2 linked regions of the Callithrix jacchus genome follow. The protein of the gene in region 2 interacts with the protein of the main gene of each other region in a pairwise test. Links are inferred from orthologs where the notes say so. Each region holds a gene or a part of one and is shown on either strand. Other genes may lie near its edges.

Region 1 (3,505 bases), on a different chromosome or scaffold from region 2:
TTTGAAACAGAGTCTTACTCTGTTGCCCAGGCTGGAGTGTAGTGGTGGGATCTCTGCTCACTGCAACCTCTGCCTTCTGGGTTCAAGCAGTTCTCCTGCCTCGGCCTCCTGAGTAGCTGGGATTACAGGCACGTGCCACCACACCCAGCTAATTTTTGTATTTTTAGTGGAGATGGGGTTTCACCACGTTGGCCAGGCTGGTCTCGAACTCCTGAGCTCAAGTGATCTACCGACCTCGGCCTCCCAAAGGCATGGACCTTGGGTTATGTGCTGGGCACTGAACTAGAAACTTCCACTGCATTAGCTCACGTAAGTTCACAGCAGCCTTATGGGGCCGTGTAAAGCAGAGGGTAACAACAGTGGCGCTCTAGAGTCCCAGACCTGGGTTTCAGCCTGAGTGTGTTCCTTTCCTAATTGTGTTGCCTTTAGCAAGGAGCTTCTAGAAGTTAGAGCCTGAGTGCCTTACAACTATAGAGGGGAGATGATTATTAGGATTCAGCAAGACGCACATAACATCATACAGTCTAGTCCCTGCACTTAAGTGTTCAAGAGACAATACACTTATTTTTCCATGCATTACATGGTACCAGTAAGGACACTGAGGCCCATGGAGAGCAGAGCTGTGCTATTTCATTCATCCCTGTAACCCCAGCACCTGGCACATGTGAACAAATGAAAAGTGATGTCCCAGGGATGAACAAACCAGTACCTGGTAGAGCCAGGATGCCAGCTCAGGTCTTCCTGACTGCAGCCCTGTACACCTGGTCATCAGGTTGTCCTAGGGAGATCTGACTGTGGGGTGGCCATGGCAGTGTATTAGTCTGCTCAGACAACTATAACAAAACACTACATGCTGAGTGACTTAAACAAGAGACGTTTATTTCCCACAGTTGGGGAGACTGGGAAATCCCACATCGTGGTGTTTGCCGGTTCAGGTTTTGGTGAGGACTCTCTTGCTGGCTTGCAGGCGTGTCTGCCTTCTTGCTGTGTCCTCACATGGGAGCGAGTGGAGCATAACACAGTGCTCTAGTGTCTCTTCAGGAACTGTAAGCCAGGGCAGTGGAGCACACCTGTCGTCTCTGCTGCTCAGGAGGCTGAGGCGGGAGGATCGTGTGAGCCCAGGGGTTCAAGACTAGCCTAGGCAACATAGGGAAATCTTGTCTCAAAAGAAAAAAAAAAAAGGCCGGCCAGGTACGGTGGCTAACTCCTGTAATCCCAGCACTTTGGGAGGCTGGGAGGGGGGTGTGGATCACAGGGTCAGGAGTTCGAGACCAGCCTGACCAACATGGTGAAACCCTGTCTCTACTAAAAATACAAAAATTAGCCAGGCATGGTGGTACACGCCTGTAATCCCAGTTACTCAGGAGGCTGAGGCAGGAGAATCGCTTGAACCCAGGAGTGGAGGTTGCAGTAGGCCAAGATGGCGCCACCGTACTCCAGCCTGGGTGACAGAGCGAGACTCCGTGTCAGAAAAACAAAAACAAAAACAAAAAACAACCATTCTTTCAGATCAGGGAATCAGAGGGGCAGGGCCCCACCCCATGCCTCATTTCACTTTAATTATTTCCCTATAGGCCCATGTCCAAATACAGTCACATTGGGAGCGAGAGTTTCACCATATGAATTTGGGGGAACCTAAACATTTAGTCCATGCCAGTGGACCCCCAAGCTGACTCTGACAGCCCTGCCTCTCCCACAGGCACCCTCTGTGAATGCTACGACGAGCTGGGCAATCGCTACCAGCTGCCCATCTATTGTCTGTCACCACCTGTGAACCTGCTGCTGGAACACACGGAGGAGGAGACCCTGGAGCCCCCCGAGCCCCCACCCAGCATGCGCCGCGAGTTCCCGCTGAAGGTGCGCCTGTCCACGGGCAAGGACGTGAGGCTCAGCGCCAGCCTGCCTGACACAGTGGGGCAGCTCAAGAGGCAGCTGCATGCCCAGGAGGGCATCGAGCCGTCGTGGCAGCGGTGGTTCTTCTCCGGGAAGCTGCTTACAGACCGCACACGGCTCCAGGAGACCAAGATCCAGAAAGATTTTGTCATCCAGGTCATCATCAACCAACCCCCACCGCCCCAGGACTGATGGGCCCACGGACCCCTGGAAAGAGGCCCTGCCTGGAGCACTCGGCCCCCACCCTGCTGCTGCCTTCCAGTGCTGTCATTTTCTTCAGGGGCCCTCCGCTCGGTGTGGCTGGTGGGTGAGCAGTGAAGGGACCCTGCCTTTCAGGGCACTGTGTGCCACCAGTGCCCGGTACGCAGGGAGCAGGCGGCCACACTTGGGCCTTGCAACCTTGTCAGAGAAAAGGTGAATGGGGCCCTCGCCCTGCCTCCCCTCTGCAGCAGGTTCGAGCCACGAGGGCTAGCCTGGAGGCCTCTGGAGCCCAGATCTATCATCTGGTGCTGCCGGCTGTGCTCACTCCGGTTTTCTGCTCAGGGTCTGAAACAGCTGCTGTCTCCCTCGTCTGCCCCCTTCCCCTGGCTCTCCCCTGGGCACAGTGCCACTCCCTGGGAAGGGAGGGAACCACCCGTGAGCCCCAGGGCTCGGGAAGCCTGAGGCAGGCTTCTGCCTCTCCGTGCCCCCAGCACAATTGGCAGAGATGAGGCAGGTGGTGGACGGCTGGACTGTCGTGGCAGGGGTCTGCACAGTGTCATGTCCTAGCTGTAACCCAGGCAGTGGGAGGTCTGCAGCCTGGTCACGGCCCCCACAGCAGGTCCCTGTGGACAGACATATCTGCATATTTATCAATAAAGCCTTTTGCTCCATCTCGCTTGCCTGGCATTTGACTGAGTTCTGCAGCTCTGTGGGACCCCTGGAGCTGTTCTGGTATGAGAGCAGGTGGATGCCTGGCCTCCCAGCTGCTCTGGGCACGAAATCTCCAGCAGGGAGAGCCTGGAACTGCCAGGCTTCTGGGCCCTGATCCCAGCCCCCTGGTGTCCTCATGAGTCCTCAGGAAAAGCCACTTAACCTCTGAACCCCCTTTGCTTTTCTTTAAAGCAGAGCCATGCTGCCTGCCCTGCCTCCTCCATCAGTTGCTGGGAGGATTAAGCAGGAAGACAGATGTGAAAGTGGTTGGAAGGTGAAGACAGCAACTCAGGCAGGAGGGGCTGGCTTCCAGCTCCTGGAGATGCTGTGCCCATCGTGATGTTAAAGCAAAGTCACTGGCAGATTTAGATGATGAGCATATGTCAGAGGTTTGTGTCAGCTTCCCAGCAAGCAAGCCAGGGAGGAAAAGGAACCAGTTCCTCCTGCTTCCTAGGGGAATGCATGCATATCTGAAGACAGGGGTATCTTATATAAGGCTATTTAGCTAAGGGAAGCCACCAGCCAGGTGAGCCTTGCAGAAGCGCAGGGCCAGGTGTCTGCAGGTCCCTAGCAGGTTAATCTCTAGCCTACAAGTACCGAGTGTGGAACTGAGCAAGTACAGATCTGCTTTTGTTACAGTGGGGAGTATTTATCCTTCTCAGTGAGCATGGCCAGCCTCCTGGCCAGGAAAGCCTGGCAC
Region 2 (4,377 bases):
GCCGACTTCACTCTGTCTCCCACAACCCATCCACACTCCTTAACTTCCAGCTCACCGGCCATCTCCCCAGTGCTATAACTTGAAAGGCTTCTGCTCACTTTGATCCCTGTGCCTCATATGCCTTCACTCATTTCTACTTTTCAGGCCCAGGTAAGTCACCTGCTCTGAGTTTGCACACTCCCCTATGCAGAGGTGACTCCCTCCTCAGGGCTCCCACAAGACACCCACGCACTCTGTCTGCAGTTCCTTATATTCCGTTTCTGTCCCACACCTTCGCCCCATTCATCTCTTACCTTTACGTGCAGGATATGAAGCACGTCACATTCCCACTGGGTGACTAAACACATGTCTGCTGCTGAAAGGTAGGGGCTGGACCCAGAGGATGGCCGAAAGTTTTTCTCTCCAGAACTGGGTTTCTGTCAGCTCATCTCCATAGCATGTTCCAGAAATAATTCTCCCTCAGTTAAAGGCTTACCAAGAGCCTTTAACTAGAAGCAGTTCAACCCCATTTGATGACAATGAAGAACATCCATTTCAAAAAAATTTATTTATGATTCTTTTGTTAACACACACAGGAGGGGTTTTGGTCATGTGAACGAAAAATTTATTTCTTAAAAAAGGCTTTTGAGGTCTTTGTTTTTCAAGGCAAATTAACACTTTTTATATGTTTGACTTTGACCTCCAATCTGACAGGTCTACTACCCTGATGAACTGGAAGAGACTTTCCAGGCCCTGATAATGTCTTTTCCTTTCTCCAGTCTCTCAAGGCTCTTTGTAGACTGTCTCTTCAGTGCCATTCTCTGAAGCCCCTGTGATGTGTGAGGGTATTACAACAGTCCATACTCACTGCCTTGTCACATAAGGTCAGCTATGCTGTCTAAATCAACTCACCTGACAGATTACACAAGATACATCAGACAATGTGCCACAAAACATAGCTCTCCTCTTTCATCTCACAGAGGAACGAAAGTTCCAAAATATATACAAAACCACTTCCATCTCCAGCTGTCTTCTCGGTCTTCCCAGCTTTATGCAAAGCTGCCTCATTAATACATTCTTCACGAGGCTCAACCAAGTAGTGCAAGGCAGGCCCCTCTAAAGTCGGAAGATTCTGATCCCAGGTCTTGATGTGTTCCAAAAAACAATCAGGTCACAAAGGTAACAGCAAAATACAAGGTCATGCCCAACATTTCAAAAGCAAGTAACAAGAATAAAAGTAACGGCGAAAACAACTTTTGATGAAGCCCCGTTTCTCTTACAACAGTATTTCTCCCACAAAAGTTATCCTTCCAGAACCAAATACATTTGAAGATGTAAACCCATACCGAGCTTATCAATCACTGACCATAAGGGAGACTGTTACATGGGGGTAAAAAACATACAAAAACAAAACAGAGATGACAAGCGGTTTCGGTTTCCTCAATGTGTCAGTTCATCCTTACCAGCTGACTATAGTCCTCAGCTGTGAACCTAAAGCACAATTGGGAGAAATTGACCATGAAAAGTTCCATATCCTGATGTTAAAAATAAATGTTAACCAACCAGAAGAATGCCACTGCTTTGAGACAGGGTCTTCTGACATACCTGCCTCATAGAACAATCTGGAAATTTCAGGTAATGTCCTCTGGCTTTACTCTTTCTCTTTGCCTGCGTTCTCGCCCTGCGTTCCATTTTGCTCTACGGCCTAGGTTTTCTTTGGCTTTCCCCAAACTCCCTTGGTGCCTAGTCAGGTCTACTTCTGGGGACCGCCCTATTAGAATTGACTTTCATGTTTCACAAACCCCAAGTTACTTTTATTTTCCTCTATCAGTGTGGGAGGGAGAGGCCATACAAAAACGGTACACTAACACCTAACAAAACCAGCACGCATTCTTTCCTCTTGACCCCAACTTCGTTCCCAATGCTCAATTTTTGATGCAATAAAAATGGGGGGGGGCGGGGAGTGCAGGCCTAGGATATAACTTTTGACAGGGCGCGGTTTCACACCATGCTTAGGGCGACTACTGAGTTCCATCCGAGCTCCCGCCAGGTTCAGACCTTACCACCGATGTCCTCCTTCAAGAAGACTCACTTCTCTCTATTCGCCAGACGAGCTCGACCAGCATCTCTGCCATCTTCGCGATCTCCTTGGCCTTCTCCTCGGCCTTCTCGCACAACTCCGACACTCTCTCGTCGGCTTCGCCACTCGGGTGCTGCGCCTGGTTGAGGGCGCTCTCCTCCGAGGCCTCCACCTGCGTCTTGATCTGGATGAGCATATTGTCCATCTCCCACAGCTTGCTCCTGGTCCGCAGGTACGCCCGCCCGTGCTCGCGTATAAGAGACGCGATGTCCTCGCGCATCTCGTTGATGACCGGGAGCAGGAACTGCTCGAAATCCTCCTCGGGCTCCAGCACCTCCACCTCCTCTGGCGCTTCCACCTCGTCGATGTCCAGAGGCCGCATCTCCTCCTGCCGCTTCTTTAAGACCGCAGTAGTGACGTTATCCTTACTGGACCCCCCTGGGGACTGCAGATCAGGAGTTACTGCTGGAGTCTAGGCGATCCACACGCTTTGTCCATAGTACTCCCGAATTATCTTTAAATTTTTTCTTCCTTTTAATTGTAAGCCTTTCGCTTCGGAACTCTATCGGAAGAATCACCGTGGACGGACACAGCGCAGCGACCAACAAAATGGAGACGCAGCCGTCAACTCGCCCTCCGCCTGTTTGCGGCCCTTTCACGACAGGGCCGGGCCCCTTTACGGTCACGCCTGTGGCAAGACCAGGTAGCGGGCGCGCGCGGCCCATTCGCCACCTGTTTCCCGGCGCTCCGCTCGGCTCTCTTCTCTAAAAATTAGGTCGGTGGCGGCAGGTTTGTTCGCGTCTTCCTCGGAAAGCTCTCTTTAGAGGGCTTTTACTTTTATTATTTTTTTTAAGTAAAAGCGACCCTCCCCATCCCTATATTTGAATAAGACGGGCTGGCGTTCACAGCGCTTACTCTCTAAACATGCACAAGCTTGGAATAATTTATATGAAATTCACTTAGCGCTCACAACGAACCTATAAGAGAGGTAAAAACCAGGCCAGAGTCATGATTTGAGCCCAAAGCAATGTGTGTCCACAGTGTGCTCACTGTTCCAGAACGGAGCAGGTCCCTTGTTCTCCCCACCCCTGGCTCATGCTTTTTTTCTCGGGGGGTAGGGAGTGGATTTCTCTCTCTGCCTTGGGTGGTTCTGGCCTGTGGTTTTTAGTCGCTCTTCAGCAGTCTGTAAGGTTTTCAAGGTAAAGGGCCACTTCTGTTTCAGTTCTGTCCTCCGCCCTTCCTATCAGCCTGGCGTCAAGCAGGGCCTTAGGGGATGCTTTAGAGACAGGAATTCTTCTCTAGTACCTCAGTGCCTCTGCCAGACTGGAGGCTGTTTGGGGATGGGTTCTGGTCTTGCTCACCCTTATGTACCTACCACACACAGGACCTGAAAGTCAGCAGGGGCCTAGTAAATGTGGCTTTGATCACCAACCTGATGCCTTTGTGGAATAGAGGAGTCTATTGCGAGGCTTAGTCACCCAGTGCCACACTAGTAGTGATACGAGTGTGTGTAGAGGGGGGAATCCTTCTTGCACAAGTGCCATAGATGAGAGCTTCAGTTTTCCAGTCTCATAAAGACCAATGGCCCCAGCCTGAATATCTGTCAGTGGGAAGAGGCATTTGTAAGATGATGTGTGTGAAACAGTTTTGCAACCACCAATGTTCTAGCAGATGTTCATCAAAAGAACATTAAGAGAAAAAGAGCAGGACACTGAAAAAAAGGATATTTTCAATAGCTCTATCTGGCAAAGGACTCATGCAGAATATATCGAGAACTCCTAGAGATCAACAAGAAAAAAAATTTTTTTTAATGGACAAAAGACAAAAGCTGGCACTTAGCAAAAGAGAATATCCAAATGGCCAATATGTATGTGAAAACGTGCTCAACGTCACGATTCAGCAGAGAAATGAAAATTAAAACCGCAATGAGGAAGCACTGTCCATCCACTAGAATGACTCAAATTTAAAATGCTGACAATACCAAGCATTGGGGAAGATGCTGAACAAACGGAACTCTCATGCATTCTTGATGGATGTCTTACTCCACTCTGGGCACCACAACTAAGCACCAGAGGCTGCGTGGCTTAAACACAGACATTTATCTTCTCACAGTTCTGGAGGGCAGAAGTCCATAATTAAGATGCCAACAAATTTGGTTTCTGGAGGCGAGGGCTCTCTTCGTGAACTGCAGATGGTCACCTTGCTGCAGTCCTTACACGATCTCTTCTTTGTGTATGCAGTGTTGGGAGGTACAGAAAGGAGTGCTTGCTTACGTCTTTTCTTAGAAGAACATGAAGCTCTAGGCTCATGCCGCAGCC

The links.
Region 1: the proteins of MRFAP1L1 (region 2) and UBTD1 interact in binary tests that used the Homo sapiens proteins (3 or more experiments, as listed by UniProt). The two-hybrid records come from large-scale screens. The link is inferred for Callithrix jacchus from reciprocal best matches to the Homo sapiens genes MRFAP1L1 and UBTD1.

Annotation. Positions count from the first base shown.
Region 1 is NC_133513.1:90,379,664-90,383,168, forward strand, and holds the end of UBTD1 (ubiquitin domain-containing protein 1), read left to right. Parts: intron 1-1,699; coding exon 1,700-2,085; 3' UTR 2,086-2,765; downstream 2,766-3,505. UniProt on the Homo sapiens protein: May be involved in the regulation of cellular senescence through a positive feedback loop with TP53. Is a TP53 downstream target gene that increases the stability of TP53 protein by promoting the ubiquitination and degradation of MDM2.
Region 2 is NC_133504.1:186,946,457-186,950,833, forward strand, and holds MRFAP1L1 (MORF4 family-associated protein 1-like 1), read right to left. Parts: upstream 2,691-4,377; 5' UTR 2,442-2,690; coding exon 2,058-2,441; 3' UTR 529-2,057; downstream 1-528.